Linked DNA regions of Saccharomyces cerevisiae S288C. Changing the gene in region 2 together with the main gene of any one other region gives a genetic interaction. Each region holds a gene or a part of one and is shown on either strand. Other genes may lie near its edges.

What was found.
Region 1: mutations in YPR1 (region 2) and ETT1 together harm fitness more than expected from each alone (negative genetic interaction), as found in Saccharomyces cerevisiae (one large-scale study listed by BioGRID).

Annotation. Positions count from the first base shown.
Region 1 is NC_001147.6:423,007-430,413, forward strand, and holds ETT1 (Ett1p), read right to left. Parts: upstream 3,079-7,407; coding exon 1,840-3,078; downstream 1-1,839. Other genes in the region: phospholipid-translocating ATPase RSB1, read right to left, coding at 1-726; TMC1 (Tmc1p), read right to left, coding at 3,766-4,218; phosphopantothenoylcysteine decarboxylase complex subunit VHS3, read right to left, coding at 4,827-6,851; NOB1 (rRNA-binding endoribonuclease), read right to left, coding at 7,241-7,407.
Region 2 is NC_001136.10:1,210,060-1,217,616, reverse strand, and holds YPR1 (trifunctional aldehyde reductase/carbonyl reductase (NADPH)/glucose 1-dehydrogenase (NADP(+)) YPR1), read right to left. Parts: upstream 3,714-7,557; coding exon 2,775-3,713; downstream 1-2,774. Other genes in the region: XRS2 (Xrs2p), read left to right, coding at 37-2,601; KEI1 (Kei1p), read right to left, coding at 4,003-4,638, 4,740-4,769; MOR1 (Mor1p), read left to right, coding at 4,781-5,179. UniProt on the Saccharomyces cerevisiae protein: Aldehyde reductase with broad substrate specificity, catalyzing the NADPH-dependent reduction of aldehydes into the corresponding alcohols.

The DNA of each region.
Region 1 (7,407 bases), on a different chromosome or scaffold from region 2:
AACTAATTCAGCCAAACGGTAACAACAACGGGTAAAAATGGTTAGTACCGCAACGGTTATTGCCAGATTAAAATAATGAAAAACCCAACGTTTAGGTTCGAGTCTCAAAAAATGGAACTTTTCCCTGTATAAATAATCAACTTCTGTTTGCGATATCTTTAAGAGGCTCAATGAGATAGGTCTAGAATTTATGTGTTCCCATCTTACCGATATATATATACGGAAAAGGAAGTGAAACCATAACATAAGAAAGATGGCCATCGATGCAACTTGAATGGCCAAACCAGCAATGAAAACATGATTGCCGGTTGTTGTGGACGTTCCATCTGTGACCGCCACACCACACAGGCCACCGCCTACAGCTTGCACCACAAGCGATACGATATCGGAACATATGAAAATAAAAGAATACGCCATTGGAGAGGGCAATAAAGAGAACCTGTGGCCGTATACTTCTATAAGCTTTGCAAGTTGATAATAAATACCACCCATTGTGAAAACTGGTGCAATAGTCAAACAAATCATGTTCAAAAGAAAAGCGTCCATATCGGCGACATTAGAATGCGACCACGTCCTCCCTATAAATCCAAGAACTTCCAAAATACCTGTGCATATAAAAGCGATTGAAAACCAGTATTGGCGCATCAGTAACTGTACGACATGTATTGTCAGTAGTATACCCCAAATGACAATCATCGTGATATTAAAACGAAGGTTCGGTACCATACCACCATAAAGGGAATTACTGTTAGCTGCTGCTTCTAACTGTGGCAAAAGACTGCCTAACGTATTATTTGTTGCGTTGGACATTTTGAATTTCTCAACGTCTATAATCAGAAAAAAAGTACTGTGAGAAATCTATTTTAGAACAACCAGCAGTAATTAGTTACGCCCTTAGTATACTATTGCTTGAACTGCTAGGAAACCAGAGTTTACGTAGAAAAGTAATGAATTTTAAGTCTACTACTGAAAGAAAAAAAAAAAATACTTTACTGTGCAAGCGACAAGGAAAACTCTTCTTATTTCTATTGATTCTGGGGTCGACTGCAAATAATAAACCTTATATAGTGTTTTGCCCATCAGCTCAACTGTTTTAGGTGAAAATGGGAGGCACACCAAAGAAAAATAAACAGGGCAAATTAGAGCTCCGTGGGTACAACCGATCAGAATCACACCTATTCCCTTTTAGAGAGCGAGATAGCGAGAAAAAGTCAAGAGCTTTTCGACATTTGCGGAAAAATTACGGGGGATGCTTACGTACAGCTAGGGGGCGACAGAACCCTCAAGGCATGGCCGTGCAGCACTCGCACAGGACTTGGTGCAAGAAGTTCGGTTACTAATGAGAATGTCAACTATCGGAGCTGCCACAACTACTAGGCAACGTCGTTTTCCAGTGGTCCCTGACATATCAATTGCCGCACTGTCACTGTGCGCAAATATAATAGGAAACAGAGGACCGACGGAGACCATATCTTTCCGCGGAAAAAGAGTCCGAGCGAAGTCCGGAAGGAAATATGACGGAGCAAGAATGCTTCCGCGGATGTAAAAGATTGTGCTATGCTCTGGATTGCCCTCTCGGAGAGTTTTGTTGGTTTGTTTCACTGAAGCCATTGATAATAAACTCTTTATTGGGTGATGACGAGGCTGAGCACCAAAAAACCTAAAAGGAAACCAAAAGTTTAACTCATTAAATAAGTTGTGACTATATTTCAACACGCGCTCTAATAAATATAGCCTTTCTTTTAGCTTTTCTATAAAACTAGATAAAAATAGTAATTTTTGAGAGTACTTAAGGCAACAGAAGGAGTGAGTAAAAATAAAAAAGAAGCGTGGATGCGCTCAGCCTTGTAAGAAATTGTCCAGGACATCTTGAAATTTACCATGAGAAGCCTTGTTTGCTTTGCCTAAGATTTCTTCGGCGGTTTTGTAAGCTTCTTCTTGTTCAGCACTTTCATTGTCAAGCAGGTTACCTAGGTCAATATATGCTTCGGCGACTTGAACCCAGGTGTCCGGATCATCCTCCAGTTTAGCCTTTTCCAAGTATTCTAAAGCCTTTTTTGTGTGCTTCAAAGCGGTTTCTTGGGCGTTCTTGGCTTCCTTGTCGCTAACCTTTTCAGAACCGCCATCATCGTACTGTAGGCTTAAGAAAACTTTACTTGGTTCTTCAGCTTTTTTTAGGTATAGTTCCCCTAGGGTGTTAGCTATTGATGCATAGATTTTCACATCTGTATTTGTGTTGTCAAGCAATTTATCAAAATGGTTTCTTAGCCACTCGTAATTCGCTTCTAGCGATTGTTGTAGGGGATATACAGGGTGTTCTGGTTCCAACTCAATATCAATGAGTTCCTCTTCCTCTTCATTATCGCTATCTATGCCCTCTTGAATAGATTGTTCGCGACCAAAATTCTCGACGATGTCCAATAAGTCATTCACCATTTGTAGGATTTCAAAAGTAAATTCAGTATCGTTTTCATAAATTGAAAAATGCTTCTTACCATGTTCAAGCTGTCCTACAAGATCAAGTTTTTTATCCTTCGATTTCAAATGGAGATTGGAAATATATTCCAACGGAATCCTTTGGAAAATTATCTTTGCTAAAACTAGTTTTAGAAATTGGGATTCAGGGAAATGCGAAAGACCTAATTCGACTCTTTCGATAGCACTTTCAAAAAATGAGGATACATCTTTTTTTCTCTTTTCTTCAGTGGCTTCCTCATCGCCTGCCTTGAAAATAGTCAATTCAGATAAAGCCAGAGCATATATACCATGGAAAATATCGTTCAGCGTCTTCTTAATCTCTTTATCTTCTTCAGAAAGACGCAATAATCTGTCACATTCGTGAACGATTCCATTTAAAACATATTCGTCGTCTCTGTCAGAGTGAAAATATTTAGACCACAGTCCTTTCAGCTGAGCTAATTCGTCATCTAAATCAGCATCATCGTCAAGCTCAACACTCATTTGACTTCTCACAGGTGTGGATTCTCTGGAAGGTTCATCGCTCTTCTTTTCGACACTTTCCACCTTTCTTTTCTTTTCTCTACTTTGTTTACCTAAACCTAAGGGTCTTTTAGCCATTTCTGTACGATTACTTTCTTGGACTGTTCTCCTTTTTTCTTCAATTCTTTTTCTTTTGGGTGCCTACAATTGTTCTATTATTTAAAAACTAGTTTATATTGAAATTTTTCAAAATATGCAACATTTCAAATGACGAAAAAAAGAGTTCTTTTTCTCGCACTTTTTTTTTTACCTCTTTCGGTCGCAAAACGATATATGCGGAAAATTGTTTTTCCGCTACAACCTCATGAAATGGAAAAAGAAATGGTGAAGTTACTCCAGCTTTCATTTGTTTATATTTCGATTGCCTTAACGCTTAAAAATGAATTGTAAACATAAAAAAAAAGTCGTTTTCTCCCTTTCTTCCCCGTACAAAAAAAGAAACGAAAAACCAAAGACCAACCAACAGATTAGGTTCTTGCGTAAGGCGTTTCAAAGGTTAAGCACCACTTCTTGATTATTAATATTATTAGTTATACGTTATATAAGAGTAAGTGGTTACAATGAACGGTCTCTCTTGATGAGTCAGGATAGATGAAGAAAAAAAAAAAAAAAACGAAGAGACCATTCAAGTAATTTATACATGTTATTTTGTAGAGAAATGCATCAAAAGCGTTCTTTTCCCTTGTGTAACATCAATGCCGATTAGACGTTACAATGCAGTTCCCAGTGAATTAGATGTGTGTATGATTTAACCATGATAGGTGTTTAAATTTGTATCTTTGGAGCCTTAGTTTGTTCAGCTTCTAGCTTATCAGCGTTTCTTTGATGTAGCTGTTCTTTGCAGCTCGTTAAGCCATTACAAGCATGGTTTTCCATTAATCTGTGTTTCGAGCAAAAGTGACCTTTGCAAAAATTACAGTCACCGATGAATTTCGAAGCCGCACTTGAACAGGTATCGAAATAACAAGCATTCTTCTTTTTCTTCTTGGTCGTTTTCTTAGTCACCCGCCTACTGCTCTGACCCGTCGATGTCACGCTAGAGTTACTAGAAGACCTTGAATTCAACGGTATAGCACCCAGGACGGTCCCGGAATCTGATTTCTTTATCTTAGCGTGGTATGTGCTTTTATCCTCGATCTCATGCATGGGATCCTTGGGAGTAACTTGTCTAATTTCATCCTTTCTGGATGGAATTTCGATTTCGTTTATATCAGACATTTTTAGTTTCTATTCTTTTGGTGATTTTGATAGTTTTGTGCTTCACTTGATGTAAATGAATCAGTAAAGCAGAATAAATAGCGGTTTAGCGGATAGGCTGCTTGATCCTTTTATCCAAGATGTATGATAGAGTCAGGAACTCTTCAAGCGGGAAAGGCGAGAATATCTCTTATGCAAAGTCTAAGACTTCGGTGGCAAGTATTTCCCTTTTATATCTTCTTTGCTTCTGGGCCGATGCAGTCTTTGCCACCGCCCCCTTCTTTCTTTTTTTCCCTGACAGGGCCGAAGCTCGCAGAAAACAGAAAGGTGAAACGAACCGCAGAGCTGTGGAGCATTTGATCTCACCCGCTTTGCGATAAGCTGGCAAGGTTAAATCGGATTTGAACCACTCCCTTTCCCTCAGAATGAACATCCGATAGAGTGACGACGCACCTCCGCAGCATCGTAAGCGCTAACTATGAGACATAAAACTCCCTTTGGAAAATGAGTTAAGTGTCCTACTTGCCTATTTTTAGCCTTCTCTTCTGGTTATCAGTGATTAATGCAAATTTATTCTATGTAAAGATATATATAGTTCAAAAGTTTTACAATAATGAAATTAGTCCTATTTAAGATCGCTGTAGCCCTCCTTTATCTTCTTTCTTTTTTCCTTCATCGTCTTCATCTTCGTCTTCGTCATCTTCATCGTCGTCGTCGTCGTCGTCATCATCGTCGTCATCATCGTCGTCATCATCATCATCGTCGTCGTCGTCGTCGTCGTCGTCGTCGTCGTCGTCGTCATCATCGTCATCATCATCATCGTCATCGTCGTCGTCGTCATTATCTTCATCTTTACCACCAGTATCGTTCTTCTTATTATCATCCTCCTCATCGTTATCTTCATCCTCTTCTTCTTCCTTTCCCGCAGAAACATCGGGATAACCACCTAGTTTGACGACTATCTTGCCAACAATCTCATTTGCATCCATCATCCCACTTAACCCGATGTCACCGTTTATGCCCATGACTTTTTCTGAGGGTTTAAATACAGTTACCCAAGGCATCTCTTCTTGAATAATTCGAAAATGTTTTTTAGTCATTATGGAATTGAACGTACCGCTACCCATTGAAGGCGCTAGGAATATGGGAAACGTTGGATTCCATGCCCTTATTACACTTGTCAAAAGGTTGTCACATAAACCAAGGGCAATCTTGGCCAACGTGTTTGCGGTTAATGGTGCGACAACTAGTATATCTGCCCAACGACGTAGTTCTATGTGTAATACAGGATCAGTTCGTTGTCGCCATACATCCCACTCGTCTTGGTCTGTCCAAAATTGTATATGTGCTGGCAGTTCAATTTGAGGATGTTGCGATACAACGTTTGAAGAGTTGCTGTACGTACGACTACCACCAAGTGTCGAAGGAAATCCAGTAGTAGAGGCCATTTGTTTTTCTTCCTCCTGTTTATTATTTGTCTGAGAAGCCGCTGAGTTTGAAGACGTCTTCTGAATGCTAAATTTTTCAAGAGAGGCTACTTTTTTCTTGTTACCAGTTATATTGCCAGCATTAGAATTGGTGCTGTTGAAAGAAGTATCGATACTATTGTGTTGTTTCTTATTTTTCCTCATATACTTCATTGCAAAAAATTTGGTTGCTGAGTTAGTTAGTATAACTTGTATGCATATTTTGTCCCTTCCGTAAATTTCTTCTAATTTTCTGATCATGTGCTTGAGTTTGAAAACAGACAAAGAACCTGTTGCCCCAAAAAGAACGTGTAGCTTGCCGTCATCTTGGGGAAGCCTTGGATCCATATTGGTCATAATATTTTCTCTCTTCAAGGGATTTGAGACTGCATTGGGAGACATTGCTTCTTCCAAGACAGACTCCAACAATGTGGGCTCTCCAGTCTTTGATATGGAGCCCTCTCGTTCAATGTTGATGGGGTTAAATGTATTCACTACCACAGAGGGGCGAGGACTAGTACTGTTAGACCTTGATCTAACTGATGGGGTGTGTAAAGGATCTTCCACGTAGAAATGTGGGTGCTCCTTTCTGGGGCTATCGGAACTATTGTCAGAGTTTAAAATAGAATCTGTTCCACCGGTGAAACTTAGCTTTTTAGCCAGCAGGCTGGATATGTTATTCCCCATATCAGCATTGGAGAGAATAGAGGTTGGAGTCGAAAAAGAAGAAGCAGAAGCCTCGCCATCTTTTGGTACTTTTGTATTTATGTCTTTCAAGTTTCTTCCTTGATTTGCACCCTCCGCTGCGATGTGTACAGACGTTGCTTTCTTTTCGCTGGACTGTCTGGCCACCTGGTTAGGTGGAGTTTGCTCCACATCCGACCTGAGACTACCCAACTTTGGATCGCTGAATGTAACAGTTGGTATCCTTTTTAACCCTGGCTCTGGTGTATTACTTACAACTGCCCCAGAAGTTCCGCTAGCATTCATGATTGACTTAGTTTGTGAACCAGTGGGACTAGTTGATTTCCTTACTACAGGAGTGTCCAGACTAGAAACGGAAGAAAATGGTCCCGTAGAATTTGTGTCAGGCATTGCCGATGAACCTATATTGGCCTGCTCAGCTCCAGAGAGAGTATTCGAAGCAACCCCTTTCCTATTGTTCTTCAGGCTAGATTTGTTTGTCATTGCGTCTCTGCACTATAATTATGGCCAGTATTCCTCTTTCTGGTCTCTTCTTTGAACTAAAGTAATCTTATAAAAGGCTATCCTTTTTTTGGCAATCTAGTATTAATCCTGATCAAAAAGTCCTCAAAACGAGCCCTCTTCAAAGTGCTGTAACACCATTCATCTCATAAGGGGAGGGCATACTGAGCAATAAAACGTTTTCTTACCTTTTCGGTCTTTTGGACTCTCCAACCAGAAAGTTAAAGGGCAAAAAAGCTCACATGACACGCTTGTTTTGGAAAACGTCATAGAAAAACCACGTGAAAAAAAAAAAAAAAAAAAAAAAAAAAAGAAAAAGAAAAAGGGCAGCTGCCAACTAGTACACACTACACAGATATTTATGAAAAACACTAACTTCTCCTTTTGGAACTGTTGACGTACCTTCCCTTACCAATGCGGACGTTATGCTGCTTCAACCCAGTAATTGCAAATGGAGAAATATAGTTATCCGCAGAACCGCCACCAATCCAATTGTTTAGAATCTTCTCGTTGTGTCTTCTTGTCCATTCTTCTTGCT
Region 2 (7,557 bases):
GAGCAACAATACTGAGAAGGTGATAACTATAAATTTATGTGGGTAGTACGATACCAGAATACATTGGAAGATGGCTCTATTAGCTTTATATCATGTTGTCTTCAGGCCTTCAAAACTTATAGTATAGGTAGATCAAGTAAAAACCCACTGATAATTAAAAATGATAAAAGTATTTCCAGACAGCATATCACATTCAAATGGGAAATCAATAATAGTTCGGATCTGAAACACAGTAGCCTGTGTTTAGTTAACAAGGGTAAATTGACATCATTAAATAAAAAATTCATGAAAGTTGGCGAAACATTTACTATTAATGCCTCGGACGTTTTAAAGTCCACAATAATTGAACTGGGTACAACTCCTATTCGTATAGAGTTCGAATGGATAAATGAAGTCTGGAACATTCCTCCTCATTTGACACAATTCAGGACGATGCTTTCTGAATATGGTATCTCCACTGAGATTTCTATTAATGATATTCCCGCTAATCTGATGATTAGCGATTACCCAAAGAGCGAGGACAACAGCATACGGGAATTGTATGCCCTTGTTAGTACTATACCCATGAAAAAATCACGGTTTCTGATGGAATTGTGTAATACTCTTCTTCCCACATCTAAAACTAATTTAAAATTTGATGAAATGTGGAACGATATGATTAGTAATCCGGAGTACAATGTTTTTGATTTTGATCCAAATATTTTGCTTTCGAAGTTTATGAGGCTGAATAATATCAGAGTGTTAACTACTATCAAAAGTGAACCACGTCTATCATCTCTCCTGCGGACGTTCAATATAAATTTATTTGCATTTGACAACATTGATAGTTTATATAAATATGTTGACAGCTTGGAAGCATCAACAGAATACCTGATTTTGACAACTACAGATAAGAAAGAAAATGGGAAAATTCTATGTACTATCAAAACGATGTTAACATCAATAATAGATGGCACCTTAAGCGCAGTGATTAATATGAAGGGTGCATCTTCAAGAACTCTAGATAACGGTAAATTTGATCAAATTTCTGAAGGAATGTCTACTATTTTGAAAACATCTCGTGCACCTGAAGTTGAAGCTAGTCCAGTAGTCTCGAAGAAGCGAAAATTAAATAGACGTAGAGTACTACCACTCGATAGTCTTGATTTTTTTGCTGGAGGTTTGAGTACTAAGACTCTATCAGAAAATAGGTCTTTAACTGACGCTAAGAGACTTAATTGTGGCGCAGAATCAAAGACTGTCATTTCAAGTCCCAACATTGCAGAGGCAGATGAAAAGCACGCCCCATTTCTTCAAAACGCACTAAAGCCGACTGAAGATATTGGAAAGAAAAGTGGTCACAGTAGCCCTGGTGCTATAATTGTCAGTAGCCCCAACTTAGGTACTGTGAACACGAGTGAGGATTCGTTGGATAAGTCGCTACAGTCACATAAGTTACCACAGCCGTCATTGCCGGAGGTAGCAGGGATTGGCTCTCAAACCATATCTTCGAACTCCGCTGACTATGAAACAGCTGCTGTGAATTCGATGGATGATGCTGAAGTTACTAAGAATTTTAGGGTGAATCATCACCAGAATATAGAGCAACCCTCTAAAAACATCCGTAAACTTTCTAATTATTCACGAGAAATTTCATCTCCATTACAAGAAAATTGTAAGTCACCTGTAAAAGAGTTATCTATTAAAGAGAAATCTGGTACGCCGCACGCATTTGTTGAAGCTATTCAAGAAACTAAAAATAGAGAGGTCAAAAGAGTTAAGTCAACCATTGTTGAATTGAAGGATGAGGAGTTGAGCGAGGAAGCTATTAATCAGCTAAAAAATTTGGCTATTGTAGAACCTAGTAACAATTTACTGAGGAAATCATTTGATAGTGAGGGAAACAAAACAAGCAGAACAACTGAAAAATGGGAAAATAGCCTAATGGAGCCAGAATGGCATAAACGCAAGAATTTCAAGACTTTTGTCAAGGTACGTCCAAAATCAAAGGCGCACAAAGAAGAGGGTAAAAATAACACTCAAAGCTCAGATTTTATACGAAATGCAGCCTTTTTAATCACTAGAAATTATGTTCCGTTAAAAAAATACTCCAAAAAGGATACAACTACAAAATGGGGCACAGAAGAAAACGAAGATATGTTTGCTTTGACGGAGATGGAAAGATTTGGATCGAATACATTTATGTCCGATAATATAAACTCAAACACTATCCAGAAAAGATCTCAAGCTCTAAACAGATTCACGAATGAGGATAGTTCAAATGAAGGAGAAGAAGATTCGTTTTCTTTTTCTCGTTGTTCAGGTACTGCAGCCAGCGTTCAACCACTAAAAAACAAAATTTTTATTACTGATGAAGATGATCTGGGTGATATTGATGATAAAAGCGATAGACTAAATCACAGAGAAAATAATCGTAATCTTTTTGTGGTGAAGGAAATGAACTTACGGCCAAACTTGTCAGAAGAATGTTCCAAGCAAAGTAGACACAGTAGAAGCGCAACTAGTAGATCACGTGGCTCTTTTGGGGCTTCTAATAACGGTGATGGCGACGACGACGATGACGACGGTCCGAAGTTTACGTTCAAAAGAAGAAAAGGATAATGATAAATTTTCCGAGTATTTCCAATTTCATTAAATTATATTTTGCATTATCATTCGATATATGTGTATATATTATATGAAAATTAGTAAAATCAATGTTTGTTTCAGCTGTATCGGATCGGTTTAAAGAAGCACTACAGGTTGCTGGAGGCATTAACTGTAATGTAGCGCGCTCATTGGAAAATTGGGAAGGATCCCCACTTCATATCAACGACTCTCTTTGTACCATGCACTTTGGATAGGTTACTAATAGTCTTGAAATCATCCTCAGGCAGAGTGAAAATCTTAAAATTGGATACAATTCTTTCAGGATTAACCGATTTGGCCAGAACAACGTAGCCTCTTTGAATACTCCAACTGATAATAAGCTGTGCTGGCTCAACGCCGTGCTTTTTAGCCATATCAATAATTGCTTGCTCTTTTAGTAAAGGAGCATTAGCACTCCCAAATGGTGAGTAGGCTTCAACAACAATACCCTTTTCCTTACAAAAGGCAATCAATTCGTCTTGTGGTAGCAATGGATGAATTTCAATTTGATTAGTAGCTGGTACCACCTTGTTATTTGGAGATTCTAATAATTCTTTAATGTTGTTAATAGAAAAATTAGAGACACCAACGGCTTTAGTTTTGCCCGTCTTTGGCAACTCTTGCATCAACTCCCACGTCTTGATAAAATTCCATTCCTTAGTATCGATGTCAACAGTGCCATCTTCTAATGTTGGAATGCACAGAACGTTACCATCAGTAACTCTGTCGGTTTTCAAAGGCACTGGCCAATGCATCAGATATAGGTCAACATAATCCAAGCCTAGTCTTTTCAAAGACTTGTTTAGAGCAGCTTCCGGATCACGTTGTTCCGTACCCCAAAGCTTAGTAGTAATAAAAATTTCCTCACGAGGGACTCCGGAATCTTTAATAGCCCTGCCAACTTCTTCTTCATTCAAATAGATAGCCGCAGCATCAATGTGTCTGTATCCAGCTTTCAAAGCTGCAATTACAGAATGGTAACCGTTATTGTCAACGGAACGCCAAGTGCCGAAACCCAACACTGGAATGGAGGCACCAGTATTTAGTTTTAATGTAGCAGAAGAATTCTTTAACGTAGCAGGCATGGTAGATTATTATCTGTGGGTATATTTGCGACCTGATTATATTGCAAAGTTACTTTATTATCACTTTAGAAAAGAAAAGGGTTTCACGGAATTGAATTGCAACCAAATAGGGAATTGCGTGCTATATAGTTTCCTTTTTCCTTTTTTTTCAAAATTACGTAAGAGCTACTTAAATACACACGTGATGAAAAGTGACAATAGCATCAGTGAGAATGATTTTATGATGTCAGAATAGAAACATTTCTTCATCAGTGTAAAACGCTATAACGCTAGGGCTTTATTTTACTATTTACTCTAACAAATTCTTACATAGCTTATAACAACCTTTTTGGCTCTTAGCCCACAGTCTTTTCCAAATAGGCTTGTTTTTCAAGTTTTGTTCTACGTCATCCCTATCAACTAAATATTTGGGGTGGTGTAACAATTCTTGAACAAAAGATGCCAAAATGAAGTTAAAGTAGAACCTGAATATCAATGACACCAACGTAATTAAAATAGTCATGGTATATTCGTAGCTTTCAGTTGCACTTTGTTTACTTATATCAATACCACGTTCTGTCAGCTTACCTGTCGATATTGGGTTACTTTGTAGTGCATTATTTCCATCAATATTAGCAGTGTCTTCCAAGGTGAACCATTGCGTGGTAAACCATAGAGTAAAAAAACAAGTGGAAATGGTATCGATTGTATAAAGTACGCAGATTTGCGAAAATACCAGCAAGTTTGGCTTATGAATCAAATACAGCCCTTGTGAGAATACGATTAATGTAAATACCGACCAAAGATATGCTATCCATTGCATAAAATCCAACGGATGACCCGTGAACAATGCTAAAATACCATAAGCACCACTGCATTTGTTTAGAATGGAAATACCTAAGACAATCTCAACTGCAAGGTATAGCGGCATAAACCCCAAAAAAGACTATGAAAAAAAAATATGTTTGAGAACAGGTTAGTAAAATTGTGCTTTGCTTCGAATCCTTACAAGTTAACAAAAATTTATAGCGTTTGCCGGAAACATACTTTTGGAAGGGTTAGAAGAGATGATCTCATAACTAAGGTTAATGGTTACAATTGGTAGTTCCTCCCTGGTATTATTTCTTTTCTTCGTAGTTTTTGTACAGATCACTTATACAGCTTTACACAGATTTTCCCGCTTGTTGTGCACTTTTTTTTCGAAGATTATTGAAGAGGGATGCGTTTGGTACAATAAAAAACATAGGTTCCCAAACCTATATAAATATATATATGTATATGTATATATACTACATATATGCTTTGAGAAATATGTGAATGTTGAGATAATTGTTGGGATTCCATTGTTGATAAAGGCTATAATATTAGGTATACAGAATATACTAGAAGTTCTCCTCAAGGATTTAGGAATCCATAAAAGGGAATCTGCAATTCTACACAATTCTATAAATATTATTATCATCATTTTATATGTTTATATTCATTGATCCTATTACATTATCAATCCTTGCGTTTCAGCTTCCACTAATTTAGATGACTATTTCTCATCATTTGCGTCATCTTCTAACACCGTATATGATAATATACTAGTAATGTAAATACTAGTTAGTAGATGATAGTTGATTTCTATTCCAACATACCACCCATAATGTAATAGATCTAATGAATCCATTTGTTAGTTAATAGTTTAAATGTTTTTATCGGAAGAGGTTTTGTCATCACATCAGCAATGTTCTTCTTGGTCTCGATGTAGTATACGTATAAATTATTACCTGATACTTCATCTCTAAGTCTCATTGCCTTTGTGCCAAAAAATCTGTTTCTAAATTTCTCTTCATTTGTAGACTTAATTATACTGATCGTTGATCTACTATCAGTAAGTAAGCCTTTAATAATTGGTTTCTTGTTAAGTTCTTGCACAAGGTGACTGAGGTTATTCAATAGCGGTATAGCTTCACTGACTGCGTGTATTTCTGCTTCTGTAGTTGAAGTGCATGTTAACGAAGCCTTTGTCGACTTTCCTCCAATCACTTTTCCGTTGAGTAGGAAAATGTTACCAATTTGTGACTTGTAATATGGTTGGTTACCATATGAAGCATCGCTTATTGCGACTAGTTTATTATCTGGCTTGGTAGGTTTGTTTTTGTGCCATATTAATTGTTTATCTCTAGTGTCCCACATGAATTGTATTAACTCATATGTCATGTCTAAAACTTGCCTAGAGGGGAATAGTATATGTTGAGCAAGTGTGTTGATGTAGTATAGTAAGTCAAATCTAAATTTATATCCAACATATGAAGCTAGACCAATCAACTTTTGCATTTCATGTACCTTCTCTTTGTATTCATCTTCATCTATTTCTAGTTCATCCTGGTCTATATAAAGACCTGGTTGACCTGGAGCGCTAAGTTTTCTTCCTTTTGGATTCAAAGGTACGTTTAATTTGGGTATTTTCTCAGTTAATGAGTTTTCCATACCTAATTTCATGTATTTACCTCTTTGATATTTGATTTCTAAGCCAAGTATGTCATATTGAATTTCCTCATCACTTTCGCCTAGATTTATAATCTTGGTGTCGTATTGCATCTTAAGCTTCTCTATAATTCTTTTGTTTGAATTTAGATTTTTGCTAAACAATACCATATCATCTACGAATAAACAAATTGTCACTTGACTGTTTTTAAATACGCATGACCATCCACGAACTTCTTCCATACCACATTGTTGTATCAGGTATGATTTGATAGTTTCGTACCAGTTCGCTCCACTTTGTTTCAATCCATAAAGTGATTTCTTCAAACGTATCAACTTATCATTCATTCCTAAATGTGGTGGAGGTCTTATGTATAATTCTTCTTTGATGTCTGCATACAAATATGCCGAAGATATGTCTAATTGTGTAATATAGTAGTTATTGTCTAATGCAAGTGACAGGGATGTCATTAATGCATAGTGATGTACGGTATTGGATTGCATGCCTGAGTCGTAAGTGTCAGGATGCTGAATATCACCTCTTGCAACAAATCTAGCTTTATGAGTACCGTCACGTTTCTTGTTGAAGATAAACATTGAGTTTATTACTCTTTTAGGGTCTATTTCTTTTCTGTCATAATATTCGTCAGTGTCCCAAGTTTTCATCTTCAACAGTTGATTGACTTCTTTGTGGTATGCCTCGATATATTTTTCTTTTTCTTTAATATCTTTATTATAGGTGATTGCCTCATCGTATCGTAAGGTTGTCCGTATTGGTTTGATTGATTTTACTGCTTTTACAGCTGCAATCAGGTGAATTCGTTTCTTCGATCTCGGAGGTTCTAAACTACGCATATTCTTAGTATTCCATGTGTCTCGTGATACCTTAATTTCAGTTTCATTATCTTCTAATGATCTTTTCTTACTGTTGATAGTAGTATAGGCATTAGAGTCACCAATACCACCCAAACTGGAATTAGTTTGACGAGAATTTATCGGTGGGAGTTCTTTAAATGGGTCAGGGAATTCGGTAGGAGATTCTGGAGGTAGATCAGGGAGTGGGAGATCAGCGATGATAGATTCCTCGGTATTCTGTTCAGAAACAGTAGTTGGCGTTTTGATAGGAACAATATTGTGCGATGAATTATTTTCCGGTGGAGAAGCATCGATTGAAGGTGAACGGTGTATAATCCTTTTCTCAGTCTCTTGGTCACTTATCTGCGGAACAGTTTTGTTGTTGGTACCACCCGTACTGGATATTGGTACGTTTGTATGATTAGTCTCATTTTCACTGTACGAGTCTGAGTGTCTGAAATCTTTAGATTTACTGGCGTGCGACGACTCATGTGTGTTAGATTGGGACATGGGAGCAAGTAAAGGAACATTTAATTTA